4 linked regions of the Xenopus tropicalis genome follow. The protein of the gene in region 1 purifies or fractionates together with the protein of each later gene. This does not show direct contact. Links are inferred from orthologs where the notes say so. Each region holds a gene or a part of one and is shown on either strand. Other genes may lie near its edges.

Region 1 (6,886 bases):
TTTTGTGTGGTATAACTCCCAGCACCCACAGTTGGGGGTTCTATAGCTCAAGTGCCTCAACCGTGCTCAAATTGTGGTGTGCAGAAATATAAAATGACAAGCCACAGTGCTCAGGGAGGTGCAAGGGATCTCTGTACTCTACACCCCATTCCCCCAACCCACACCCATTTCCTACCAGGGCCACTGCCTAGGGGCCCCCACCCCAGTAGAGCACTCCTGCTTTTTTTATGCCACCCCCTCCCCCTGTCACAGGGGTTTCCGGCACCCACAAGTTCCCGGCAAGGTGCAGGGACATCAGGTTTTTTCCCAGTGACCCGCAGGTGAGTTCATTGCATTGGGAAATCACCCCCCACAGGTTGTGCAATACACCAGTTTGTGTGGTGTAAATGACCCCTAATAAGATGGTTGTACAACATGAAGCAGAAGGAGGGTGGCTGTGTGATAAACTCTTCCTTACTGACAGCCAGTAACGGGCGCATCATTCCAACACAGACAGTGAGGTATGGCCATGGCCACTTCTCCCACTGCCATGTCATGGGGTGCTGACCCTCATCAGGAAGTCCATCTGCATTCCATACCCCTTCCTTAGGCAGCAAAAATACATACTGTGCCTCCCGCCTGTTTCCTTTTCCTCTCATCTGTCACCTGTTTCCCTCTTCTGCTTCCTGTTTCTTCCGTCCTGCTCCCCCCCCCCCCCATTGCTTCCCAGTGCCCTGATAGTAGCCCTGCCTTCAGACTAGCTGTCCATTCACTAATCCTAGATAATTCATATTCATTGGAGTACCCATGCCCAGCTAATATCAGTGTTATTAAAGGGAAAGTAACACCAAAGAATGTTTCAAAGTACATAAAATATAATGTACTGTTGCCCTGCACTGGTAATAGTTCTGTGTTTACTTCAGAAAACCTACTATGATTGTTTTAAATAAGCTGCTGTGTAGCCACGGGGGCAGCCATTCAAGCTGGAAAAAGCAGATAAGGCACAGGTTACATGGTAGATAACAGAAAAGCTCTATATAATACAATGGGAATCTATGCAACTTATCTGTTATCTGCTATGTAACCTGTGCTTTTTCTCCTTTTTTTCATTTTAAATGGCTGCCCCCATGTCTACACAGCAGCGTTGTTTATATAAACTACTGTAGGGTTTTTAAAGCAAAAACTCAACTTTTTAGTACATTATATATATATCAGTTTGATACACTTTAATTTTTTGATGTTACTGTTCCTTTAGCATATTCAAAATAATTGCTCAGTATGATGTCAGTAGTGTTATTCTAGGACAGATTACAATAATGTATCTGTTCTGCAGCTCTCTGGCTTCGGCATTCTGGTTGCTACAGTCAATGACCCTAGAAACCGGATAAGATGAAAGAGAGGCAGAATGAAAAGGCAAATGCCATAATTCACAGGGCCATTTGGGGCCATTCTGCTGCCTTCACTGCTAATATTATACATATTTTGCCAGGTTTCAAAGGAAATGCGGCTTTTCTACAGTGAAGTGTATCAACATGCAACCACCGGGACTAAGGAACAGCAGCAAAAGGCTCTCCCTGTGCTCAAGGCCTTCCATGAGACAGTAAGTGTTAATTACCCTTCAGGGCATCTGGCTGATCAGCCCATGGGCCAAAAAGGCCAGTACTGGCCATACACTAGGTTGTCCAAGTGCTATTATTTCTATCGTTTGGGCCAATAGGCAATTGCAGCTGCAGGAAGTGAAGATGAATTTATTTGCCAACAAGATTTATTGCCGACATACATTCCCAGACACTCAGCAGTCTGCTTTAAATGGGCCAAACTGCCCAATCAAATCTGGCTGTGCATGGCCAACTTTATAAGGAAAAAAACCCTTATCCAATGTGTGTGTTTATTGTACTGAATGTATGCAGTTGCCTGTTATTGTAGTGATGGTCCCCATGTTTCAGCTAAACAGTCTTCTTCTTACCCTTCCAGCTGCAGTGCTGTGGCGACGCCAGTCTTAAAAAATATGTCACCATGAGCATCACCGATATGTGTCCGAAGCGTAGTAATATCCTAGAGCAAATCACCATAGAGGTTAGTATGCCTTTGGACGAAAGGGCTTTGGCACGGCTAGGACCATTCTTTCACACTAATCATTTACATTTTATTTCAGGACTGCCACCAGAAAATTGACGTCCTCTTTTCTACAAAGCTTTATTTGGTTGGCATCGCTGCTGTTGTGGTGGCCGTTATTATGGTAAGAACGCTGCACGCATTCCCTGTGCCTCTGTCTAATCTCCCCCGTCTAACCAGCCAGTATGCATAGCTCTGTGTGAAGGATTCCAGTATCCTATCATGGGCTTCTCCTACCATCAGAGAAATAGTTGCTGTATGGCACGTAGTACTGGTTGGGGGAAACTGGCACGTAGGGTTTTTTTTTTGTTTATTTTTGAATTATTTGCCTTCCTCTTCTGCATCATTCCAGCAAAAAAAAACTATTGCTCTGTAAGGCTACAATGCCATCATTATTGTTAGCTTTTTATTCCTTATCATTCTATTCATTCCCTCTCCTATTCATTTGGCAGTCTGTCATTCAAACCACTGCCTGGTTACTAAGAGAAATAAGCCTTAGCAACCAAATAGTTGTTGAAATACCAAACTGGAGATCTGCCGAACCAAAACAAAAGAAAATACAAAAACAATTGCAGATTGTTTCAGAATATTAATGTCTATGTCATCCTAAAAGTTTATTGAAAGGTGAAGCAGCAAGATAGAAGGTTCTGATCCACTTCTGCTCTTCTGTGCCTTATTACTTATTGCTGTTGTCCTATCCAGGCAGTTTGTTTTGTCCTTTAAATACTTGCATCTCAATTAATCAATTCTGCTTTTTCCCTCTTCTCTCTCCCATAGATCATCGAGATGATATTCAGTATGGTCCTGTGCTGTGGCATCCGGATTTATTCTGTATACTAAGGAACGTCTTTATTCTCCTATGTATATAAATCCTTGTCTTATTCCTCTTCCCCCAAACCCTCCCAACGTCTCCCTTTCAATTTTTTTTTTTTTCTTTTTTAAATATCCTACCCTCTTGGCGATCGAGTCAGTGTCCCGCCAGTGCAGTGGATTCCTAGCTTGGACTATCCCTATGTCTGTATGAGCGATGCTCTAGGTATTTCTTCAACAAGACACTCGGGAATTCGGGTGCCCTTGAATGTATACGGCCTGCTTGCAGGGCTCTGACTTCCAGTTTACAGCTTCTGCGGTCAGAAGGACGCATCATCTTGTGTTTGCCGCGCAATAAGATACTAAAGAGTTCCGTGGTAGGCCGGCTGAATTCAGCCACGTGCTACAATCAAGTCTGTGTGCGTCCGGCCACTCTTTACTTTCTTATTGCTGTCGAGTCACAATCTCTCCCCGTTTCACGTGTAAAAGATGTTGTGTTCGTACTTTTGGGAGAGGAGTCAATCCATATTCCTTGCACGATGGCCCCTATTTCCTACACTCCATCATTACATAGTAAATATATATATAAATATAAACATGTAAAAAGATTCTGATTAAAATCCTTTGGGGGCTTTTTTTTTCCCCCCACTGACACCAAAGTCTTGATTCATTTATTTATGGGGTGAAGGGATGGGGATGATGGGGGAATTCTCTAAAACCTTATGGGCAAAATTTGCTATTGGATAAAAATAAATTCTCCTGTTAAATTATATTATATAAAATAAAAATTAATGTTTATATTTGTGCCAGAAACACATACGCTTTATGGGTGTTTTGCAGACACACAGCAATTAATGCATGCTGCAGACTGAACTGATTTATGTATAGCCATGCAGCATACATTTACAAGCAGGGTGAGGGTGTGCCCAGGATCCTGTATGAGGAGGGCCAGAACTAGGGGGAGGCAGAAGAGACACCTGCCTAGGGTGCAAGGATGAGGGGGCTCCAGGCAGGTACATCTTCTGCCTAACTCTTGTCCATTTTTCTTGCCCTCACACATCGGGGTAAGGAGGCAAACTGGCCAGTCGCATTGCCTTGGGCGCCCAGCTGGCTTGGCACGCCTCTGTGTCTACACCCCTTTGGTTACATTACAGCAGGATATTGATCAAAGCAAAGAAACAGAAAACCCTGTAAGGAACACAGGATATATTTAGAGGCAAACCAAAAGTCTATACAAAATGTAATGAACATTCTAGCAATTTAGCTCCTGGGCACCGATTGTGAGGCACAAATTCCACATTTTATCCCATATTCTGGCACTTTTCAGTCTGAAATCACTCACTAGAGCATTGTTGGATTTAATTACCCATAGGGTTGCCCCTGCACCCAATTAATACATAATCCCTGCATGGCTAGCTAGAAGTTAAAGGGGAACTCCACCCAAACACAACTTCTGATTTTTGAAAAGCAAACACAATTTCAAGCAACTTTGCAGTATACATCAGTTAAAAAAAATATGCAGCCTTTTCATGATTTTTAATGCAATAATATGATTTTGTTATCTAAGCCTAGTCCCCTGTATCCCTGCTGATCTGGCTGACTACTTTGAGACCCTGCACATGTGATGTAAACAAAGAAAGGAACACAGTGCAATGCATTGTGGGTTATGTAGTTCCTGCATGCTGTCTGTAAGCTGTGGAGAAGTTGTTACAATTTGTAACATTAATGTTTTAGTCCCTCCTCCCCTGCCAGGATTTCAATTGATTCAGAAAGAAAGCTGTTTTGCAGCTGGATTTCAGCATATATAAATAGTATTAATTTATACTTATTTGAAGGAACAGATTACAGTGATAGGTATATTGGGGGGTTTCTGTTTTGTGTGTGGCTGTTTTTGGAAGCCGGAGTTCAGCCGGTGATGTATGGCTGCACATAAATCAGTTCAGTCTGCAGCATGCATCTCAATTAGTTGCTAACTAGCCATGCAGGCTGTGGATTCAATATGTTGCTGATGTACAAGGGACGATTTGGCATCACTAGTTACACGTTTCCCATTTAAATGCATGAGAGGCAGCAATGACCATTTTGGGCGCCTCTCCGCTGGCAGAGACTACACCCCCACGTATCAGCCTAAGGATCTTGTTTCCAACAGACAACACAATCTCCACATCGCTTTCAGCTGGCCCAGCCTGAGTACTACATATTCTTTCAAAAGAAGGACAGTTGCAGCGAAGTGGACAACAAGGCCCTGTTAGAAGGCAAAATGCTTTGCTCATCCTGCACAAAGGAGCTGCTCACAGAGTGGGACTTGGAGTTCTGCGCAGCTGTCGCCCGGGAAGCCTTGAGGAGCAACAGATGTACCTCTGTACAATGGAGATCCCTGCACAGGATCATGGGTCATGGCCTTCAGGCTGACAGTTTCTGGCAGGACTGGCAGTTGATAAACCTCTCCCAAGGCCTGGGGGGTTTCTAATTTAAAGGGGAAGTTCATCTTAAAAACTCAAGGGTGAGGTAGACAGTAGTTTTTATTTTATTAAGCACATTGTTTTTGTTAGATTTGGAACTCTGTTATCGTGTAGCTCTGCAAGAAAAATCATTATTTTTCTTGCATACCGTATCTAGGATCCATCTGGGAGTAGGTCCACGTGTAGCACACTGATTAGGCGGTAAGTGCTCCCATGTACTATTATTGTTTTTTCTGCACATCGTGTAGCTCTGGAATAGTATAAGGCTAAGAAATGTAAGCAGTATAAAAATAATGATATCATTGATGCCTCTGAGCTTCTGCTTTCAGGCTGCCTGGGTCACAAGTGAGTAAAAGATTCAGGACATGTATCAGGCGAGGGAAAAGGAAGAGAAAAAAAAATGTAGACGAACAGAGGAAAGCAGAGATCATGGATCTCATTTTATGCATTTGCATTGGCCCATTAGACCCACAGGGATTATTACAGTATGACAGTTTCCCCTTTGAATAGTACAGTTTGGTCTATTTTTATTGGCCCCTCAGCGTTATTGCTCCTCGCTAGTTACTCAACAGTTTCAGTATTCAGTATGGAAACCCAGACCCTAAAAGATAGCAGTGCCAGCCGCCATATAGTGCACTGTTTAATACATATTGTACTGCTATTACTAAAGGGAAACTACGCCCAACCAATTTGTTAGACGCCACCCACTGAGTTTAATCATTTAGCCAATACTCCGGGAAAGTGCTTCTTTTTATAAAACCTGCACCTTATTCTCTATTTTTCCAGACATAACTTTTGCAAGGTAAGGCTTGGCGTATGCATACCCAGGCAGCTGTGATTTTTAAAGAAGAGTAGTCCAGCCCTGGGAGCGTCATAAATTGCCTCCTGGCCTCTGCGCCTATGTTTCAAATCCGTACATGCAATTGTTTAATTTAACATTATGTTGCTTATGTGGGTACAGTTTCCCTTTTAAAGGAGAAGGAAAGGTAAAAACTAAGTAAGCTTTATCAGAAAGGTCTATGTAAATACAGCCAAAAGCACTCACAGAAACGCTGCACTGAGTCCTCTATCAAAAGAAACACAGGATTTCTTGTCTTCTTTTGTGTAAACATGTTCTTTGGCATCAGACTTCCTCTCAGAAAAATCCTTTGTTCCCGGCTGAGTCTCCGAAGCTCTCTCCCTTCTCCAGCTCCCCTCCCATAAGAATTCACTCCCCCTCCCATCAGAATGTGTGATCTGAGCTACCAACAGCTAGAGCAGCAGCAGGAAGCTATTGAGACCAAGCTAAAATGGCAGCTGCTATCTTAAGCAAACAGAGGGAGCTTCCAGGGCTCTTTACTCAGGTATGGGAAAGCTTTCTGCAGAAATAATAATAATAATAAGAAGAAATAATAATAATAATACAGAGCTCTAGGTGGCACTATTATGACTAATCTATTGGCAGTAAAATGCCAAAATGCCATTCCTTCTTCTTTAATATGTGGGTTTTTCTTACATTTCAATAGAAATAATATTTGTTC
Region 2 (6,808 bases), on another chromosome or scaffold:
GCATCTAGTTGCTGATTTTGTATTATGATGAGCTGTATTATACCCACCACCCCTGGTCCTCAGAAAAATTGTCTTGCTTGAAACCGGTCCCTGGTGCAAAAAAGGTTGGATACCACTGCTTTATGGCAATCATATACAGATTTACAGGATTGTCAGATCAGTTGTTTGGTCCTGCTCCTTGATTGCTCTGAGACTCTGGATCCTTTCACATAACACAATCCATTTTTACCTCATTTTGATTCCATAGTCTTAAAAGACTAATCCCTTTCTCGTAAAAATCACAAGCTTAGCAGTGATTCCACCATATGTACTGCTGTTATGATGTGTATCATTAATGAATTGTGTTTTTATACTTATTTGGGTTTAATAAAGACATTATTTGTCCTGTGAGCAACACATCTGAAACCTTAAACACAGTATGATGTGATAGCAGCAGGTATTGGGCAAAACTTAGATTATTGGTATTAATATGTTACAGCATAAGGGGTCTATTTGTCCCAGATGTAAATACAAAAGATGTTGTGATAACATCTTAAGATGTTAATACAAAAGATGTACCCTTGTTGGTAGCAGAACAGTCCTGTTGTGTTTTTTTTTTAATACTTAAATTACTTTTTAAGTATGGTGATCCAAATTGCAGAAAGCCTCCTTTTCCGGAAAACCAAATTTCCCAAGCATTCTCGATAACTGGTCCCATATCTGTACTACTTTTTGACTTTGGACACCATCGTCCATTAATGGCCATAAGCTTATAAATGCTAATATTGATAGATAGCAACTATAATTAACTTTAAACATTACACATCTTTTGTATATCTGTTTAATGTGAGATGCTAATTCAGACTGGATCACTCCACAAAATGGTAGTTTGTTAAATAAAAAGTCCACCTTTCAGATTAATTTATAGTATTAGTAAATTATACACGGACTTTATTACCATTATTATGTTTATACCAAAGTCCTTGGATGTTGTATGGTTTTAATTCAAGCTGTTTTAATCATCCGTTTTTCTACAGGGTATCTTTCCTGCTGCCGTTTTCTGGATGATAACCAAATAATTACCAGTTCTGGAGATACCACTTGGTGAGTTTATTGATCCCCTCAGTTTGTTTATAGTCTCTAAAGAAAGCTACTGTACTGCTGTCAGCATAGTATTTCCCTGTACTGTGAAAGTATTATAAAATATCCCTTAAAGCAGTAGGAAAGATATAGTCACTGGGGCCAAATGTTAGCCACTCCCAGTGATTGTAATCGCTTACCTGATACCTCAGGCCAGTGCTCCTGTCAGCTAACATTTTGGCACCCCCCCAGTGATCATACCTTTCTGTCTCCTTTAATAGCAGAAATAGGCTTCTGTTCATAATTAGGATTTATGTTCTATACAAACTTTTCACAATTTAGAGAGATGGGGGGGGCTAATTTGTCAGTGTATGAAGAATGACTTGGCCTAGCTGCCTGTTTAGCATCAGAGAAGCTTCCATCTTTTCTTTTATATTTATATAATATATATATATAGTGTGTGTGTATATATATAATATGTGTTTCTGTGCCTTTTGATGCTTTGAGCTCATCTGTCTCTTTCTGAACAGTGCCCTTTGGGACATTGAAACTGGCCAGCAGACAACAACCTTTACTGGACACACTGGGGATGTTATGAGCCTGTCCTTAGCTCCAGATTCCAGGTGCTTCGTGTCTGGAGCCTGTGATGCATCTGCCAAACTTTGGGACATTCGAGAAGGAATGTGTAGACAAACCTTCACTGGACATGAGTCGGACATAAATGCCATCTGTGTAAGTCTATGTGACCACCTGTTTCTATCCAAACTTGTCTTATCCATATGACTGCCAAAAGGTTTGCCATGTTAAGGGCACGTTGGGTAAAGTATGGCTACGCAACACTCTTTTCATGTAGCATAAATTTAAAGTGCATCTATCGACTCCCATATTGTTTCCCCCTCCAGAGGTTGGGCTAATAGAGCCTGCACGCCAGTTGGGTAAAACGATAGTTTTACCCAACTGGTGTTTTAACCCCGGCCTGGAGCGAGCTCCCGGTGCAGGCGACCATGTTTGGCTTGCATGCGTATATTGAGCAAATCTCACCGCTCACTCATTTATACACATGCCCCTGGCATGGGAGCGTTGGATGCAACTCACCCTCCTACATCATGCATGCACATAATGAACGAGTTGTGGCACTCGCTTATTATGCGCATGTGTTACAATATGGCTGCCTGCACCAGAAGCTCCCTCCTGGTGGGGGTAGCCTAGCACTGGCAGGGGGCATTTGAATAAAAAAAAATCAACACTGCGGGTAACTATCCAAAATAATTAAACAACAAATTAGGCTACATATACTACACTTTATATTGTGGGTTTCTGTACCAGACCAAAGCCACTACCTCCCTTTAGCAGATGAAAGGAAAACTAAAGCTTAACTAAAGAAGTAGGCTAGAAATGTAGTACCAGCCCAAGGCAACCACAGCCTTCTGCTGATTCACTGCACAATCTCTGTGTTGTTACTGAGCTTAGGGAACCAGTCACAATGAACTGTATATATAGAATATAAATGTCACAATATAAGGCTGATAAGTAATCAATACAAATAATTGCTGCTTGGCAGCTCAGAAACCAATGCAATTAGCATCAGAATTTAATAATCAGCTCCCAAGCGTCTTCCCCCCTATGACAGACAAACCTCATTTTCTGCTTGATAATTTGCTAAGAACCCCAAGCTTAGATTTTCAACAGCTGCCCAAAGCACATTGAGCATGTCACTGACACTTCTAACAGATTCCAATTTGATGACCCCCTTTGACAACTTTGAAGTACTGGATTGTTGCTACTATAGCGATGCTGAACCCTTTAGGTTGGTGCAGTAAGTTCAGTATATAAAATATGGTATTTCTAGTCACATTTATTTTTAGGGTTTATTTCTAAAAAAAATCTGTGTCTCTTGATACTACCTCGGCCAGTCCCCATCCTCTTTCTGCTTATTCACAGCACATGTTCTGTTTTGCTGTCAGTTACCTGAGAATAGGCACTGACTCATAATATACACTATATATACTTTGACATTATATGGGTGATTAGTAACTGACTTATAGTGAGGCTGACTGGTAATCTGATTAGTAATTGATTCATATGAGCACACAGAAACACAAATAATGGAAGATCTTAACTTGCCTTTTGAATTCTTAATGCAAAGGCAATAACCTAAGTTTCTTATGTGGGAGAAAGGTCATAGGGCCCACTATTGGGGGGTAAAACGATCACTGGCTAACTATAAAACTAACCATCCATCAAGTTAATATAGTTTCTCATGTTTGTGCTGACTTTTTACATATGTACAATAACAAAAATCTAAAATTATAAGTTACAAAAAATAAAAAATTAACAATCCTCTCTTCCTCTGTTTTTAAAATCTCCTGTTAAAGTATAGAATTTTCAAATGGCCAATCATAAGAAATGCAATCAGGCACAGCCAATTTCTGTAATAATTGTCTACAATAATATGGTACCGAGTTTAATTTAATTAACACACCTTGATATTATTTTAGTAACACACATTGATGTTTTATTAATAGATATGTAGATTTGTGTATATATTAACTAATTTTTAATGTCATTCTGTTTTCAGTTCTTCCCCAATGGCAATGCTTTTGCCACTGGTTCAGATGATGCCACCTGCAGGCTGTTTGACCTTCGGGCTGACCAGGAACTGATGGTTTATTCACATGATAATATTATCTGTGGCATCACCTCTGTAGCATTCTCCAAGAGTGGACGCCTCCTCCTAGCTGGATATGATGACTTTAATTGCAATGTCTGGGACACACTTAAGGCTGATAGAGCTGGTATGGCTGCCGATTAATGGGCATATTATTTACATTGTTTTTAATTCAGATTTTTTTCATTTTTTTTTTTTTTTAGCTTTTTTAACCTGATATTTGTATTTTGGGATAAACACTTCTATGCTACACATTTCTTAATTGTATACACAAGCAAGCTTATGACAGCAAACATAGTTTTTTGTAATTTTCATAGTAGCTATAACATGCTTCTTTAAAGCATAAAGCTGATTATATTCAAAATGAAGCAGTGCGGAGTAGTACCATGACTCCTGCAGCTATTCTCTCTAACTGCTGGCTCTTAAATTGGGTGATGCTTCTTACTTCCCTGAATTCTTTGCCCTGTGCTGGATGTATAGTTGCCATAAATTATTTGTTCACTTAATAGCCGGAGCAGATAAGGGATGTGCACTTCATAAGAGCACTGCTCTTGCATTTTTTGTTTCAGCAGATAGAGCGGTACTAAGTGACAATTTGTGCCTTGTTGCATCTCTTTGGGGCACACTTGCATATGCATTCCCCTATTCATCTTTGGCTCTGATAAATGTTAATAGGATCTCTTTTGGGGTAATTGATGGAATATTTTCTAAATCAAACTGGTTAACTGTAAAAGGCACTATGACACCTAAAGCCAAAACAAGACACAGGACTGCTATCTTTGAGAAGTGGTACAGACTTATTTACATTAAAGAAAGTACATTTAGTTGCCTTTAAACCATGAAGTGATCACTCCAGGTTCTCCAGTTTCATGAAAGCTGGCTGCCTTTCTGATTGATTCACAGGATCTTTGGCCTCTGGGTAATTTTAGCAATGGACACATTACATTCCACACATTAAACAAGACACAATGCTTCCTGTTTTAAGATCTAAAACCTCTTTACATTATACTTCACTAAACTTTTCCTTTTTATGTGCCTAGGTGTTCTTGCTGGTCATGATAATCGTGTAAGTTGCTTGGGAGTAACAGATGATGGCATGGCAGTGGCAACAGGGTCATGGGACAGCTTCCTCAAGATCTGGAACTAAAGTAGGTTCAAATGGTGTTTGTTGTTGTTGTAGCTAGTAGTACTACTAATCAGAAAAAATGGTTGGTTGTTGCTTGGTACGACCTTAATGGAGTTTGTGTAGCTGAACGGCCCCTTACATATGTTTCTCATAGTGGCTAATATGTATGTTTTCTAGCAGCATGTACAAAGACATGCCATAAATATGTGCTTGCATAGGCATTCCACTGTACTAAGCATTCTTTTGCTATGAAATTAAAGGGAGCTTTTGTTTTTTTGTAAGGTATAGATACACACCCTCACTAATCAGTTTGGGGGATCTTGAAAGACAAACGTTTCCTTTTCGATGACCCCAGTTACAGCCACATTATCTACATGTGTAAAGTTGAGAACATTTTCATTATCAGGAAATATGTTTTGATCCTCATTTTGTATTTGTTTCCCTATTTGTTCTTCACCACCCAATGGAAAGGATAAATGAGTTTGTGTCAGTGTAAATTAAAGCAGAGTTTTTATCTTTCTTTCTAGATACTAAGCGGGCTTCTCCGTGACTGGAAGACCATTCCAACCTTCAAAAATTTTAAATCATAGCATATCCGATCCAACCATACTAACGTGGACACCCTTTCTCCCTATTCCTATACATCAAAGGGCAGAAAACTCTCCCCTTATTTTGCTGAAACGAAGAGCACAATTATTTGCTATAGGAAGATTTGTTTTGTTTTGTTTTGTTTTGGTCTCTGAAACAGAATTGTTCATTCCTTTTGGGACCGTTTATTCCATTATTCCCTCTTTACTTACTTTTTTTTATTTGATTTTCTTTCTCTTCTCTACATCTCGTCTTGAAGATTAATGATACAAAACACTATACAGTAAAGACATACAGTTAGCTTTGTTAAGCAGAAAGTGAGTTTCATGAAAGTTTACCTGAAGGTCCTTGATAAGTCTGTCCAGATTGCCATTTTGTAGAGTCTGGTGCACTTGCAGGTATGGAAAATCTGCAGCTATATAAAAACAAAAAGGATTTTAAAATGAGAAGTTTACTTATTGTGGTTTTTATTTTTTACTTTGGTCCATTAAGTGAAGGTGGAACTTGAGTCTGTGTGTCAGGACATACTGTTAGCCCTGTCCCTGTAGAGTTTCTTGTGAAAACTTGCACAGAAAGTGGCCAAGTTAATAACACACAAGTGTAAACTATCCACATGCCCTCTATTAAATAACTTCAATGGGTAGGTTGCTCCAGCGATTGAGTTATTTTTGATGGCCAAATGCTAGGAAATGGTTATAACACAATGCCTGGAATGCCAATGTATTGATAGGGCCATTTGAGAATTAAAAGATCCATTTGATAATGGATTGTGTCTCCAGGCTGCCCAGAACATGGCACCATTAATAATAAACTGTTCCCTGTACACCTTAACCATATCCTACACCTCATCATATACTAACTCCTCTATGATTGAGACCATGCAGAATTGCAGAGCAATGTGCCGGAGCTCAGTCTGTTCAGGATAATCCCAGAAACCCCCTTAAAGCCAGTAAAGGGTGCTGCAAGGGTTCCAACCAGAGGAAAACATATTTCTTTTTTTCTCTAAGTATGTACATCATGAGGATTTGCACCCGTATCAAGCCCAGCTAAGCTTATTTGAGGAGTGTGAAAGATCCTTATTATTTTTTGAATACTAACCTCTTTTCCTGCGGGGATTGAAGGAAAATGATCCCCAAATGTAATGTAGAGGAGTCTTATTGGTGCTTTATGCTCTTATGGTTTTCACTTTACAGAAAAGGAATAAAAGGATCGTTTACCAAGTTATTTTAATGTTTAATCAATACCGACCTTCACTTTCTGAAGCATGTCAAATCCTTATCCACAGAACCCTGAATAATAACCCAAGTTCCTCCTAACCAAACACTGGGGAAAAGAAGTTAAAGAGAAAGGGTAACTTTCACAAGCGC
Region 3 (7,863 bases), on another chromosome or scaffold:
ACACGGGGGGGGGGCTCCCAGGAACATTTAGGGCCCCCACACACACACACACGGGAAGCCCCCAGGAACATTTAGGGCCCCCCCCCACACACACACGGGGAGCCCCCAGGAACATTTAGGGCCCCCACACACACACACGGGGGGCTCCCAGGAACATTTAGGGCCCCCACACACACACACGGGGAGCCCCCAGGAACATTTAGGGCCCCCACACACACACACGGGAAGCCCCCAGGAACATTTAGGGCCCCCCCCACACACACACGGGGGGCTCCCAGGAACATTTAGGGCCCCCACACACACACACGGGGAGCCCCCAGGAACATTTAGGGCCCCCCCCACACACACACGGGGAGTCCCCAGGAACATTTAGGGCCCCCCCCACACACACGGGGAGCCCCCAGGAACATTTAGGGCCCCCCCACACACACACGGGGAGTCCCCAGGAACATTTAGGGCCCCCCCCACACACACACGGGGAGCCCCCAGGAACATTTAGGGCCCCCCTAGGGCTCAGTACTGTGTGTATTTGGGGGTGAGAGGCAATAAATATTTGATAGACAATCTCCTCCCCCAATCAGCAGCCCCCCCTCCCCCCACACACGGGGGGCTCCCCCTCCCCCCACACACGGGGGGCCCCCCCTCCCCCCACACACGGGGGCTCCCCAGCAATAACAACATCCATGCAAATTGCTTTTCTGCTCTACTCGCTCCCCAATTCCCACTCTCATTAAGTTTAATGGCCGTTACCTGGCGCAGCAATAAAATAATCCCCTCCATTAGCGCTCGCTCCTAGCCCCGCCCCCCCGCGGCGCCAGATGCACTCTAATTACAAGCATGGTCACATGGGGGGGCTGCTGGGACTTGTAGGCCAGTAAATCAGGGGGTGTCAGGCTAAGCAGCAACACTGGGGGGAATGGGGGTGTGTTTGGGCAGGGCCCCCAGATCTGCACGCTAAACACAGGCCTCACTGTACCCCGACACTGGGGGGGATGGGGGGGTGTTTGGGCAGGGCCCCCAGATCTGCACGCTATACACAGGCCTCACTGTACCCCGACACTGGGGGGGATGGGGGTGTGTTTGGGCAGGGCCCCCAGATCTGCACGCTATACACAGACCTCACTGTACCCCGACACTGGGGGGGGATGGGGGTGTGTTTGGGCAGGGCCCCCAGATCTGCACGCTATACACAGGCCTCACTGTACCCCGACACTGGGGGGATGGGGGTGTGTTTGGGCAGGGCCCCCAGATCTGCACGCTAAACACAGGCCTCACTGTACCCCGACACTGGGGGGGATGGGGGTGTGTTTGGGCAGGGCCCCCAGATCTGCACGCTATACACAGGCCTCACTGTACCCCGACACTGGGGGGGATGGGGGTGTGTTTGGGCAGGGCCCCCAGATCTGCACGCTATACACAGACCTCACTGTACCCCGACACTGGGGGGGGATGGGGGTGTGTTTGGGCAGGGCCCCCAGATCTGCACGCTATACACAGGCCTCACTGTACCCCGACACTGGGGGGGGATGGGGGTGTGTTTGGGCAGGGCCCCCAGATCTGCACGCTATACACAGGCCTCACTGTACCCCGACACTGGGGGGATGGGGGTGTGTTTGGGCAGGGCCCCCAGATCTGCACGCTATACACAGGCCTCACTGTACCCCGACACTGGGGGGGATGGGGGTGTGTTTGGGCAGGGCCCCCAGATCTGCACGCTATACACAGGCCTCACTGTACCCCGACACTGGGGGGGATGGGGGTGTGTTTGGGCAGGGCCCCCAGATCTGCACGCTATACACAGGCCTCCCTGTACCCCGACACTGGGGGGGATGGGGGTGTGTTTGGGCAGGGCCCCCAGATCTGCACGCTATACACAGACCTCACTGTACCCCGACACTGGGGGGGATGGGGGTGTGTTTGGGCAGGGCCCCCAGATCTGCACGCTATACACAGGCCTCACTGTACCCCGACACTGGGGGGGGATGGGGGTGTGTTTGGGCAGGGCCCCCAGATCTGCACGCTATACACAGGCCTCACTGTACCCCGACACTGGGGAGGATGGGGGTGTTTTTGGGCAGGGCCCCCAGATCTGCACGCTATACACAGGCCTCACTGTACCCCGACACTGGGGGGATGGGGGTGTGTTTGGGCAGGGCCCCCAGATCTGCACGCTATACACAGGCCTCCCTGTACCCCGACACTGGGGGGGATGGGGGTGTGTTTGGGCAGGGCCCCCAGATCTGCACGCTATACAAAGGCCTCGCTGTACCCCGACACTGGGGAGGATGGGGGTGTGTTTGGGCAGGGCCCCCAGATCTGCGCGCTATACACAGACCTCACTGTACCCCGACACTGGGGGGGATGGGGGTGTGTTTGGGCAGGGCCCCCAGATCTGCACGCTATACAAAGGCCTCGCTGTACCCCGACACTGGGGGGGATGGCGGTGTGTTTGGGCAGGGCCCCCAGATCTGCGCGCTATACAAAGGCCTCACTGTACCCCGACACTGGGGGGGATGGGGGTGTGTTTGGGCAGGGCCCCCAGATCTGCGCGCTATACAAAGGCCTCACTGTACCCCGACACTGGGGGGGGATGGGGGTGTGTTTGGGCAGGGCCCCCAGATCTGTGCGCTATACACAGGCCTCACTGTACCCCGACACTGGGGGGGATGGGGGTGTGTTTGGGCAGGGCCCCCAGATCTGCACGCTATACACAGACCTCACTGTACCCCGACACTGGGGGGGATGGGGGTGTGTTTGGGCAGGGCCCCCAGATCTGTGCGCTATACACAGACCTCACTGTACCCCGACACTGGGGGGGATGGGGGTGTGTTTGGGCAGGGCCCCCAGATCTGTGCGCTATACACAGACCTCACTGTACCCCGACACTGGGGGGGATGGGGGTGTGTTTGGGCAGGGCCCCCAGATCTGTGCGCTATACACAGGCCTCACTGTACCCCGACACTGGGGGGGATGGGGGTGTGTTTGGGCAGGGCCCCCAGATCTGTGCGCTATACAAAGGCCTCGCTGTACCCCGACACTGGGGGGGATGGGGGTGTGTTTGGGCAGGGCCCCCAGATCTGCACGCTATACAAAGGCCTCACTGTACCCCGACACTGGGGGGGATGGGGGTGTGTTTGGGCAGGGCCCCCAGATCTGCACGCTATACACAGGCCTCACTGTACCCCGACACTGGGGGGGATGGGGGTGTGTTTGGGCAGGGCCCCCAGATCTGCGCGCTATACAAAGGCCTCACTGTACCCCGACACTGGGGGGGATGGGGGTGTGTTTGGGCAGGGCCCCCAGATCTGCACGCTATACAAAGGCCTCACTGTACCCCGACACTGGGGGGGATGGGGGTGTGTTTGGGCAGGGCCCCCAGATCTGCACGCTATACACAGGCCTCACTGTACCCCGACACTGGGGGGGATGGGGGTGTGTTTGGGCAGGGCCCCCAGATCTGTGCGCTATACAAAGGCCTCACTGTACCCCGACACTGGGGGGGATGGGGGTGTGTTTGGGCAGGGCCCCCAGTCTCACTGTACCCCAAGTGCAGCCCCCTGATGCCCCCCCCAGGCCTCCCTATTACCCCCTACCTGAGTTCTGGAACTGCAAAGCCACTGGATTGGACGTCTGGTTCTTGGCTTCCCTCCAGGCCCCGCCCCCTCCCGGGGTCCAAGCGGTAATGGAGCAGCGGTAGGTGCCCGCCTCCTGCGCCTGCGCCTGGTACAGCCGGAATCGGTACTCGCCCTCCTTCACCTTCTCCAGCGCGGCTTTGCCAAAGCTCTCCCCCTTCCTGTGGGTCAGTCCGTCTCGGCTCAGCAGTAGGACTTGGGGGCCACTGTGGGGGCCCGACGGTTCCATTGCCACTTGCACAGAGTATCGGGGGGAGGGGATGTTCCGGGTAGTGACGTGGCACTGCATCTCAAAGGTGCCCCCCGAAACTGCCACAGCCCTGGTCACCGAGGCCCTGACTGCCAGCGAATACTCTGCAAGGCAAGAGATTGTACCAACTCACTCATGGGGGGGGACTGGCACCGCCCAACCCTCCCACCGCCTGGAACCCCCCCTGCCTTTTAGTTATATACACACCGCATGGGAGGGACTTACTCTACTAATGTTAGCCTTATTCCCATTGGCCTATATTCTCAGCATGGGAGGGACTTCCCTTTCCACTCAACCTATCACTGAGCTCCAGTACTCTACTAATGATTGCCTTATTCCCATTGGCCTATATGCTCAGCATGGGAGGGACTTCCCTTTCCACTCAGCCTATCACTGAGCTCCAGTCTGTGCCAGGAGAGAGAGGACAGGTGGGTTTAAGCTGCAGTTGTGGCCCTGGCAGGGCGGCAGCCATTAACTGTGTATATTTGTTATAAGTGTCCCCAAAGCACAGTAAGTATTGCCTGCCAACCTACCTACCAGGGACTGGCTGATCATGTGACAGCTTGTTACCCCTCCCTGTAGCAATAGCTATGGGCTTGTGGCCCGGCTGCCCCTACCTTCTTGCTCCCAGGAGATGCTGATGGGGGGGGATGCCACCTCCCTGCTCGGTGCCCAGCTCTCGTTGCGCTGCTGCTCCCAGACGGTGCCCACACAGCGGTACTGCCCCCGGTCCCCGTTGGAAGTCCATTGGATGCGCAGCACAAAGGCCTGGGGGCCCCTGCGGGAAAGGATAAGCCCCCCGCTCTCCAGGCGCTCCGTGTAGCGCTCCCCCACACTCACTGACCAGTCCTGCCCCAGGGACCCCACAAGCACCGGCGGGGATGCCCTGCTCTCTGGGCTGGGGCTGTGGTACCAGGACACGGACAGGCGGGCACCGTCAGATCCACTCATGTGGCACACAAGCTCCGTCGGCTCCTCCGAGAACTGGGGCGTAAGGGTGGCATTCAGCGACACCTCCAGCTCTGGCACTGCCAATGTGGGGAGAGAAACTGGTATGAGTGCCAAGGGGGCAAGGGGGGGGGGGAAGGTGAGACGGAGAGAGGGGACACGGGCACAGAAACACACTGGCACAGGGAATGGCACACACACCAGCACAGGGAATGGCACACACACTGGCACAGAGAATGGCACACACACCGGCACAAGAATGGCACACACACCGGCACAAGAATGGCACACACACCGGCACAAGAATGGCACACACACCGGCACAAGAATGGCACACACACCGGCACAAGAATGGCACACACACCGGCACAAGAATGGCACACACACCGGCACAAGAATGGCACACACACCGGCACAAGAATGGCACACACACTGGCACAGGGAATGGCGCACACACTGGCACAGGGAATGGCGCACACACCGGCACAGGGAATGGCACACACACTGGCACACACACCGGCACAAGAATGGCACACACACCGGCACAAGAATGGCACACACACCGGCACAAGAATGGCACACACACTGGCACAGGGAATGGCACACACACTGGCACAGGGAATGGCGCACACACCGGCACAGGGAATGGCGCACACACCGGCACAGGGAATGGCACACACACCGGCACAGGGAATGGCACACACACTGGCACAGAGAATGGCACACACTGGCACAGAGAATGGCACACACACTGGCACAGAGAATGGCACACACGCACAGAGAATGGCCCAGAGAATGGCACACACTGGCACAGAGAATGGCACACACACACTGGCACAGGGAATGGCACACACACTGGCACAGGGAATGGCACACACACACACTGGCACAGAGAATGGCACACACACACTGGCACAGGGAATGGCACACACTGGCACAGAGAATGCCACACACTGGCACAGAGAATGGCACACACACTGGCACAGAGAATGGCACTGCCATACAAAGAGTGAGAGAGTGGCAAAGGTGCCCAGGCACAGAGAGACCTGTGTGCCACTCTCATATTTACCCGCTGAATTGGGCAGCACGTTGATGGGCTCCGTGCTCCTCTCCATGATTGGGTGCCAGGTGCCATTACTGCCCGGGGCCCAGACTGTAGCCTGGCAGCTGTAGTGCCCTGCGTCCCACCCACGTGGCACTTCCAGGAGGTGTGTGCTTGCCCCCTCGTGGGTAGGATCAGGGTCGCGCCCACCCAGCAACTCCTGCCGTTCTTCAGGGCTGGGTGCCTGCTGAGCAGATAGAAACCATCGCACACGGGTACAGACTGGCGCAGCGGAGTTGTGCCACACCCGGCAGGAGAGGCGCAGGGGCTCCCCCGCATTCCCACGCACCACTGGGGCTGGCACCGTCACATTCATACCTGCACAGAAAGGAGGCATTAGGGTGGCACTAGGGGACTGGCACATTGATACCTGCACAGGAAGGAGGCATTAGGGTGGCACTAGGGGACTGGCACATTGATACCTGCACAGGAAGGAGGCATTAGGGTGGCACTAGGGGACTGGCACATTGATACCTGCACAGAAAGGAGGCATTAGGGTGGCACTAGGGGACTGGCACACTGATACCTGCACAGGAAGGAGGCATTAGGGTGGCACTAGGGGACTGGCACACTGATACCTGCACAGGAAGGAGGCATTAGGGTGGCACTAGGGGACTGGCACATTGATACCTGCACAGGAAGGAGGCATTAGGGTGGCACTAGGGGACTGGCACACTGATACCTGCACAGGAAGGAGGCATTAGGGTGGCACTAGGGGACTGGCACACTGATACCTGCACAGGAAGGAGGCATTAGGGTGGCACTAGGGGACTGGCACATTGATACCTGCACAGGAAGGAGGCATTAGGGTGGCACTAGGGGACTGGCACACTGATACCTGCACAGGAAGGAGGCATTAGGGTGGCACTAGGGACTGGCACACTGATACCTGCACAGGAAGGAGGCATTAGGGTGGCACTAGGGGACTGGCACACTGATACCTGCCACAGGAAGGAGGCATTAGGGTGGCACTAGGGGACTGGCACACTGATACCTGCACAGGAAGGAGGCATTAGGGTGGCACTAGGGGACTGGCACATTGATACCTGCACAGGAAGGAGGCATTAGGGTGGCACTAGGGGACTGGCACACTAATACCTGCACAGAAAGGAGGCATTAGGGTGGCACTAGGGGACTGGCACACTGATACCTGCAAGGGAAGGAGGCATTAGGGTGGCACTAGGGGACTGGCACACTGATACCTGCAAGGGAAGGAGGCATTAGGGTGGCACTAGGGGACCAGAACCTACCCATGGGCCCCTCCCCTATTCTAGAGCCAGTACCAGAACCTACCCATGGGCCCCTCCCCTGTTCTAGAGTCAGTACCAGAACCTACCCATAGGTTGCACCCTATTCTAGAGTCAGTACCAGAACCTACCCATAGGTTGCACCCTATTCTAGAGTCAGTACCAGAACCTACCCATGGGTTGCACCTTATTCCAGAGTCAGTACCAGAACCTACCCATGGGTTGCTCCTTATTCTAGAGTCAGTACCAGAACCTACCCATGGGTTGCTCCTTATTCTAGAGTCAGTACCAGAACCTACCCATGGGCCCCTCCCCTATTCTAGAGTCAGTACCAGAACCTACCCATGGGTTGCTCCTTATTCTAGAGTCAGTACCAGAACCTACCCATGGGTTGCTCCTTATTCTAGAGTCAGTACCAGAACCTACCCATGGGCCCCTCCCCTATTCTAGAGTCAGTACCAGAACCTACCCATAGGTTGCACCCTATTCTAGAGTCAGTACCAGAACCTACCCATGGGCCCTCCCCTGTTCTAGAGTCAGTACCAGAACCTACCCATGGGTTGCACCCTATTCTAGAGTCAGTACCAGAACCTACCCATAGGTTGCACCCTATTCTAGAGTCAGTACCAGAACCTACCCATGGGCCCCTCCCCTATTCTAGAGTCAGTACCAGAACCTACCCAT
Region 4 (7,863 bases), on another chromosome or scaffold:
CATCCTTGGCACCCACCCTACCTTGCCCCTGCGCTCGGCGGATAGAAGACGTGTTCTAAGCCTTAGAACATGTCTTCTATCCGCCAAGTGCAGGCCACGCCCTCCTCTGCATCGAATATGCATCCGGCATCCTTGGGGCCCACCCTACCTTGCCCCGCAGCATCCACGGCCAAACATATTGTATGGCTCTCACGGAATTATATTTTAAAAGATGTGGTGTTTATGGCTCTCTCAGCCAAAAAGGTTCCCGACCCCTGTTCCAGAGTATGTCTGAGACATGATGCCCTCCTAATGTAAGCCAATGCTGGAGAGGAAAGGGTGTTAAATAGCTGCAGTTCCTTTCAAGAGAGCCACAGTGATATATTGCCTCCTGTATCATTGGCCTTAGTATTGGTTATTGCCAAAAAAAAAATTAATGACTGCTGAAGTTGCAATAAAGCAAAGGAGTGCCGTCTCTGCCCAGCTAAAGGTGCTTAGTAAAGTCCAGCGATTACTGTATCTTAAACATTACACAGTAATGACATTTGCTTTCTCCTGGAAGAGGCTTCTGGCTATGGAAAATGGCAGAACAGCCCAATACCCTTGTACCATTTAAAATGAATTGTACGAATGGCATCTTTGCTGCACATTTATAGCTGAATCCCACTTTGAATTGAGGTGCAAAAATTAAAACCTTTTAATTTGTTGAATTTCAAGTATATATCCATTATCAGAGTAATTTATATGCCTTCTTTTCCCCGTGGTTAATCTCAGAACTTCTTACAAGAAGGAGAGCCCACGTCAGCACGTTGTGACGATTTGGCTGCTTTGAAAAACAAAGGCTGCCCTGAAGAAGACATCCAAAACCCCAGGGGACGTAAACAAAAGCTAAAAGATATCCCAATAACAAACAAAGGGAAAGGAGAACGTATGGACCCTGCAAACATCACCCAAATCCGACCTCAACAACTGGTATTCGAACTGCGATCAGGTAGGCTCCTAAACCTTAGATAGGGGGCAGCTTTCTCCTCTCCAGCACCATCTAATTGTGTCTGTTGTTTTATGCTAGGTGAACCCCAGACATTTAATTTGACATTCAGAAGAGCAGAAGACTATCCAATTGACCTGTACTATCTTATGGACCTCTCATTTTCTATGAAAGATGACTTGGAGAACGTTAAAAGCCTTGGAACAGCACTAATGACAGAAATGGAGAAAATTACTTCAGATTTCCGGATAGGTACATTTATCTCAAATTACTGTTGCCTAGCTGTATTATATATCAGCACTTGGTAGCCTGATGTCACTAGTCTTATTCCTATGCTTTAATACCTTGCACTATTTGCTGGCACTTATGTGAAATTAGTTACTGTTACATTACAATTATGTAGAAAACAGTAATTGTTACATAGTACTGCCAATTACAGTGTATGTCGCTCCTTAGAAAGCTGGCCATTTTATCCCTCCTTCCTAAATTGATGGGTGCTTACAAGTACCTGTAACTTTCTCTGCATCCTTTGAGAAATACTTTTAAAATGGCATGCCAGTGTATACCATTAGTATAGTCATCAGTTTTAGACCAGCCATGTAAAATTATAAAGGTTTCCTGCCCTTTGGATACTGGCATAAGCAATTCTACCAAACACATTCCTATTTTACTTGTTTTCTCTCTAGGTTTTGGCTCTTTTGTGGAAAAAACAGTCATGCCCTACATAAGCACCACTCCTGCCAAGCTTATTAACCCATGCACAAGTGATCAGAATTGCACCAGCCCATTCAGCTATAAAAATGTCCTCAACCTCACTAGCGACGGAAAGTTGTTTAACGACCTGGTAGGCAAGCAGCAGATCTCCGGTAACTTGGATTCTCCCGAGGGAGGCTTTGATGCAATTATGCAGGTTGCGGTCTGTGGTGTAAGTATTTTTAGCCATTATTTTGATCTTGGTTACGAGACTGTCTGTTCTGTACCACAAGAAAAATCATTAAGGGCATTGGCACATTGTTATGAGCCAAGGGGGTCTGGTCCAAAGGTTGGGCCTAACTGGTTGGGCCTAAGGTCTACCTTAGAATGTATTGTGGTTTTTGGCCTTAGAAATTCTCAAGAACTTTTGGGCAGTATTGGAAGTACATGTAAAAAGTCAAACAGCGTTTGTTTCGCCGCCCCATATAGATAGCTCACACATTTATTTTACTCTGGCTTGAAATTCTGCACCTTTGAGCAGTGTCATGTTTTAGTGGCTTAAATCGGTTGTTCACCTTTAATTTTACTTTTAGTATTATGTAGAGCAATGTTGTCCAACTTATAACATGTAGCAGGCTATTTATCTCATACAGCACAATTCAATTCAAATGATGTCATATAGTGAAGTCAATGGGGTGTTTGAGCAGACTGGGGGATATAAAGATCCTTTGAAGGGCCACGGCCGGCCTGCGGGCCTCCAGTTAGACTGCGCTGATGTAGAGAGTGCTTTTTGAGAGAATTTGCAACTGGACTTCATATTTATTTGCAGTTTTTTGAATTATTTAGCTTTTTGTTCAGCAGCTCTCCAGTTTAGAATTTCAGAAGGTATTTGGTTGCTAGGATCCAATTTAACCTGGCAACCATGTAGTGCTTTAAAAGAGAGACAGGAACATAAAGGAGGAACAGTTTTTTTTTTTTTTGTTTTTTTTTTTACTACTAGGGTCAGGAAAGGCAAATAATTTAACAAGCACCTCTGTTTTGCGCAGAATTTTACAGATCTCCACATTCACAGTGGACAAAGCAAATGAAACGTAGATTACAAAAAAAGCACCATATAGTGATATATATTCTACATGTACTTATGTATTACAAATCCCAGAATAGGAAACCACGTTATGTGACGATTAACATTTTCTGTTTAATGTTTTTCTTAAAGGAGCAAATTGGTTGGAGAAATGTCACACGCTTGCTGGTCTTCTCAACTGACGCAGGATTCCATTTTGCCGGAGATGGAAAATTAGGCGGCATTGTATTGCCAAATGATGGCAAATGTCATTTGCATGGGAACATGTACACAATGAGCCACTATTATGTACGTATCTTGTATTGCCCACGTTACCGTTTTACTCAATAACTTTCTTCACAATTACTGTTTTCTACATAATTGTAATGATTATTCGGTAATCTACAGGTGTGTTTTTTGTTTTTGTTTTGTTTTTTACGTTCAGTGTATTATTGAAAATACTGTAGATACGAATTGTATTTTTGGGTGTTCATTTGTTTTGTTTTGTTATTTTTAAGGACTATCCCTCAATTGCTCACCTAGTTCAGAAACTTAGTGAAAACAACATTCAGACCATTTTTGCTGTTACAGAGGATTTCCAGCCAGTCTACCAGGTATTTATATTTGTTTATGTCTATGGTATATACACATGAATAGTAATAATAATTACTTGAGTTTAAGAGGAAAAAAATAGGTCTGGGAGACAAAAACAAGACTGGAGGGGCGAAAGATCAGAGGCAGAAGGGAAAAGTGCAAGGGTCAGAGAAGGATGGGAGTTTTGGAGAAGGGGGGCAGAAAGAGAAGGGAATAGCAGAGAAAGAATAGAACAAAAAAGTGAACAGAGTAGGTTTGGTGGTAAGTAGTGCTGCTATGGAAGAAATTTCTACTGGGGTGGTCAGCTAAATGCTGCCATATATGACTCTTAACATCAAAGGTATTTTCAAGACGCTGCTGTATGATTGCTAGTAACTGCCATTGTTTTGTCCTTTTCTGTTGAGCAACGGAAAACGGACAGTGGAATGTTAACTTTAATACATTAATGGCTCTGTAACATTATCCATATTTGTGTTTTTTTGACAGGAGCTGAAAAATCTGATACCAAAATCAGCTGTGGGAACCTTGTCCTCAAATTCCAGCAATGTGATTCAACTGATTATTGACTCCTATAATGTAAGTATCTGCCAGAAGTATCCATACCCCTGACGGCACTTTTGGTTTTATAGTTTTGTTCATTACTGTTTCATAGCTCTCTGTTCATTTCTATTGGAATCCAAAATAATCCTAAGTGATCTTTTTGTTTCCAGTCTCTTTCCTCTGAACTTATTTTGGAAAACAGCAAATTGCCAGAGGGTGTAACAATCAGCTATAAATCATTCTGTAAGAATGGAGTCAAGGGAACTGGGGAGGATGGAAGGAAATGTTCAAACATTTCTATTGGAGATCAGGTGAGTTCCCAACACATTTAGGCCTATGAAACCCCCTTGATTTGGACTATAGTAAACCTATTTGCTTGTTTCATGCAAGCAATCCCTGCTTATCAGCATAGGCATCCCTTTTTCCTATTCAAACAAATGTGAAGCAGCTGCTTGCAGGAAAGGTTGTTTGGGTTAAAAATCATGCAATGTCCACCAAAGTGGATGTGCGGTGCAGTACATAATGTGTCCAAGTAAGTGGATACTAACAGAGTTGCTTTCTTACAGGTGGAATTTGAAATTAGTGTGACAGCTCACAAGTGCCCCAAAAAAGGACAAGCGGAATCCATAAAAATCAAACCACTTGGATTTACCGAAGAAGTAGAGATTGTTCTCCAGTTCATCTGTGAATGTGATTGCCAGGAAAAAGGGACGCCCAACAGCCCTGAATGTCATCATGGAAATGGAACATTCGAATGTGGTGCCTGCAGGTATTGTGCTTCCTTGCATTTATTGGGCATCAGTGCACTTTAAAGCCCTGGCTTGAAATCCCTCTGTGCATAATGCCTTATTTTTTTAAATGTATATATTGTTAATACATCACATGTCATTTTTAAATTGCCAATTTTATTCATAGTGCAGTGGATATAAATGGCTAATAAATAAGAGTAGTAGAGCTTCAGTTGGTTGAAGTGGCCAAAAGGAATTTGTAAACGTGCCTCTACAACAGGATCTTATCCACAGCCAATCCAGCTCCTCTTTTCAGCTATAAAATAATAAATCGCTATGCTGTTTCCATGACAGATGTAATGAGGGGCGCATTGGGAAGGAGTGTGAATGCAGCACCGATGAAGTAAACAGCGAAGATATGGACGCTTATTGTCGAAGAGAAAATAGCTCTGAAATCTGCAGTAACAACGGGGACTGTATATGCGGCCAGTGTGTGTGCAAAAAACGGGACAATCCCAATGAAGTTTACTCCGGCAAGTACTGTGAATGCGACAACTTCAACTGTGACAGATCCAATGGGCTGATTTGTGGAGGTAAGAATCGATCACATAATTTATATGTTTCAGAGGGCAGAAACACCAGCTGCAGTCTTGCATTCATTCAGTCTCAGTACTTTATTATTAGTCTTTATAGAGTGCTGACTGGTCATGCAGCACTTTATAGCACTTTATGCATCATTCTGATCCGTCCCTGCCCCAGTGGAGCTTACAATCAAAGGTGCTTATCACATTCACACACGAACACTAGGGTCAGTTTTATCAGAATCCAGTTAACCTGCCTGTGTGTTTTAAGCATTCCTTTTGCAAAGCATAAGTAGAACATACAAACTCCTTGCATTCACTGGCAACTGTTGTAAGGGTTACTAAAGATGTTTGAAATTGTAAAATCAAACCATATTTTTGTTACAGGTAAAGGCGTGTGCAAGTGTCGAGTATGTGAATGTTTCCCCAATTACTCCGGCAGTGCTTGTGACTGCTCAGAGGATACCTCCACTTGTATGGCAAAAAATGGCCAGATATGTAACGGGAGAGGAATATGTGACTGTGGAAGGTGTAAATGTACAGATCCTAAATTCCAAGGACCAACCTGTGAACTGTGTCAGACCTGCGTTGGTGTTTGTACGGAGCACAAGTAAGTGACTTTCTGGTAATGGAGACTGTGTGGTCTTAAAGGAACAGTAACACCAAAAAATAAATAGGTGTATCAAGTAATTAGGTTATAACACACTAGTACAAGTTGTTGTGTGTTTGCTTCAGGAACACTATCATATTTTATATAAACAAAGATACAGTGTAGCCATAGGGATAGCTGTTCAAATTGAAATAGGGCTAAATGGCACAGGTTTCGTGCAGCCTGTAAACACTATCATATTCTACAGAGCTTATCTGTTATCTGCTATGGAACCACCCTTTTTTCCAACTATTTATATAAACTATAGTAGTCTTTCTGAAGAAAACACACAACTTTTACCAGTGCAGGGCAACAGCACATTGTGTTTTAAACCTGTGCCTTTTCTCCTTTGAATGGCTGCCCCATGGCTTCACAGCAGCTAACTTATATAAACTATAGTAGTCTTTCTGAGGCAAACACACCAGTTGTAGTAATGCAGGGCAACAGTATATTATATTATTACTTTTATACACTTTCATTTTTTGGTGTTACTGTTCCTTTAAGGGTGAAGACACATGGGGCTACTTGTAGCAGCTACTTGTTGTGGCTTCTAATGACTCTGCCGATGAACGGGGATGTACAAGTCGGGATGCCTCTGTACAAGTCGGAGGCAGACTGTTATGATCTTAATATGAGAAATTATGTGTGTTTGTGTAGACAAGTATATTTATTTTCGACCGTTCAGATACTGTATATGCCTCTTATACAGACAGAGGATATATATATATATATATTTTTTAAAAGCTAAGTGGACCTTCCAATATCTCCCAGTGCTGTAATCATCAATCTTTTATTTTTAAAGGGATGTTGCCTCTTGTACCCTTTACCTTTATACCATTTAAATCAATTACAGAGCATCTTATGAAGAGTACCATTTATTGTTAAAGGCTTTGCTGCCCTTTTGGTTACGAAAAGGATGAATTCTGCTTATTCTCGCATTGCCCGCTCCTGTCTGCTGCACATACAGTGCGTGTGGCTGGTCTCTGTGAATTCTTCCAACTTCTGCAAGAATCTGGAGAGCAAACTCTCCAACAGTCTGATATTATTAAAAGAAGTTTTATTTACTAACAGTATATTTTATTTTACAGAGAATGTGTCCAGTGCCGAGCTTTCCAGAAAGGAGAGAAGCAAGAAGTATGCCTGGAGCAGTGCATGCACTTTAACATCTCTTTAGTGGAAAGTCGGGAAGACTTGCCCCAGCCAGGCCAGGCAGAAGCCCTCACACACTGTAAGGAAAAGGATGCAGAAGACTGCTGGTTTTACTTCACGTATTCAGTCGATTCAAAGAATGAAGTTCTGGTGCATGTGGTGAAGGAGCCAGGTAATTGTTCTGTTCATGACATGACATAAAAGTGGCTGAACAAACAGAGAAACAGCAAAAATTAATTAGAAATATGTCTATGAGTGATGGGTTGTATTGGGTTTACACAGGATCTGCTTGTTTGGCAACCCAAGAGTCAAATCTGCCCTATTTTTATTAATTTGACCACTGGGTCAACACTTAGCATAGGGTACCCACTGCCAAGTTCCATATCCAGAGCCTGAAGCAGCCCTAGGCTGATGGGATATTCTAGACTGCCAGTTTAATAGCAGAATTAGCCCTGATCTGAGACCAGTAAGAGAGGCATTATTTTGGGAGCCATACATGGGCTACTCCTACACAATTCACTTTGTGGCCCTTGTCAGCACAGATAATTGGAAAATTAGGAAAGGCTGACTTCAAAGTGAAACCTGCTGTTAGTCTAGTTCAGCCTGCAAATGCAATTGTTTTTCACTAGTTGTGTTTTATTATAAGCATGAATTTACCCATTGTGTGCCAGGCAGGCGCTTCCTCTCTGACCTGAAAAAGCATTATTATGTACAGATGCACGGATATTTCGGCCTCTGCTCCTCCTACTGCATTTTTTCTGCTGGAGGAAATTTCAAAGAGTCTATTCATGACTTGGCACTGGAAAAGCATGGTATACAACCCATAACTTAATGGCATCGCCCCTCACATTTTTCATTTCTGTAAAACGCATTTATGTCCCTGTACGACTAACTGACCA

The links.
Region 2: the proteins of cd81 (region 1) and gnb1 purify together in Homo sapiens (co-immunoprecipitation; 4 studies listed by BioGRID and IntAct, with this or other methods). This does not show direct contact. The link is inferred for Xenopus tropicalis from reciprocal best matches to the Homo sapiens genes CD81 and GNB1.
Region 3: the proteins of cd81 (region 1) and ptgfrn purify together in Homo sapiens (co-immunoprecipitation; 7 studies listed by BioGRID and IntAct, with this or other methods). This does not show direct contact. The link is inferred for Xenopus tropicalis from reciprocal best matches to the Homo sapiens genes CD81 and PTGFRN.
Region 4: the proteins of cd81 (region 1) and itgb1 purify together in Homo sapiens (affinity purification with western blotting; 4 studies listed by BioGRID and IntAct, with this or other methods). This does not show direct contact. The link is inferred for Xenopus tropicalis from reciprocal best matches to the Homo sapiens genes CD81 and ITGB1.

Annotation. Positions count from the first base shown.
Region 1 is NC_030680.2:22,326,709-22,333,594, forward strand, and holds the end of cd81 (CD81 antigen), read left to right. Parts: intron 1-1,468; coding exon 1,469-1,579; intron 1,580-1,953; coding exon 1,954-2,055; intron 2,056-2,134; coding exon 2,135-2,218; intron 2,219-2,871; coding exon 2,872-2,934; 3' UTR 2,935-3,558; downstream 3,559-6,886. UniProt on the Homo sapiens protein: Structural component of specialized membrane microdomains known as tetraspanin-enriched microdomains (TERMs), which act as platforms for receptor clustering and signaling.
Region 2 is NC_030683.2:91,944,551-91,951,358, forward strand, and holds part of gnb1 (guanine nucleotide-binding protein G(I)/G(S)/G(T) subunit beta-1), read left to right. Parts: intron 1-1,016; coding exon 1,017-1,083; intron 1,084-1,589; coding exon 1,590-1,791; intron 1,792-3,637; coding exon 3,638-3,854; intron 3,855-4,767; coding exon 4,768-4,874; 3' UTR 4,875-4,875; intron 4,876-5,380; 3' UTR 5,381-6,808. UniProt on the Homo sapiens protein: Guanine nucleotide-binding proteins (G proteins) are involved as a modulator or transducer in various transmembrane signaling systems.
Region 3 is NC_030678.2:404,569-412,431, forward strand, and holds part of ptgfrn (prostaglandin F2 receptor negative regulator), read right to left. Parts: intron 6,251-7,863; coding exon 5,900-6,250; intron 4,911-5,899; coding exon 4,500-4,910; intron 3,987-4,499; coding exon 3,594-3,986; intron 1-3,593. UniProt on the Homo sapiens protein: Inhibits the binding of prostaglandin F2-alpha (PGF2-alpha) to its specific FP receptor, by decreasing the receptor number rather than the affinity constant. Functional coupling with the prostaglandin F2-alpha receptor seems to occur.
Region 4 is NC_030682.2:22,883,287-22,891,149, forward strand, and holds part of itgb1 (integrin beta-1 precursor), read left to right. Parts: intron 1-753; coding exon 754-970; intron 971-1,048; coding exon 1,049-1,219; intron 1,220-1,653; coding exon 1,654-1,892; intron 1,893-2,876; coding exon 2,877-3,032; intron 3,033-3,241; coding exon 3,242-3,337; intron 3,338-3,803; coding exon 3,804-3,893; intron 3,894-4,027; coding exon 4,028-4,168; intron 4,169-4,423; coding exon 4,424-4,626; intron 4,627-4,939; coding exon 4,940-5,178; intron 5,179-5,553; coding exon 5,554-5,776; intron 5,777-6,903; coding exon 6,904-7,136; intron 7,137-7,863.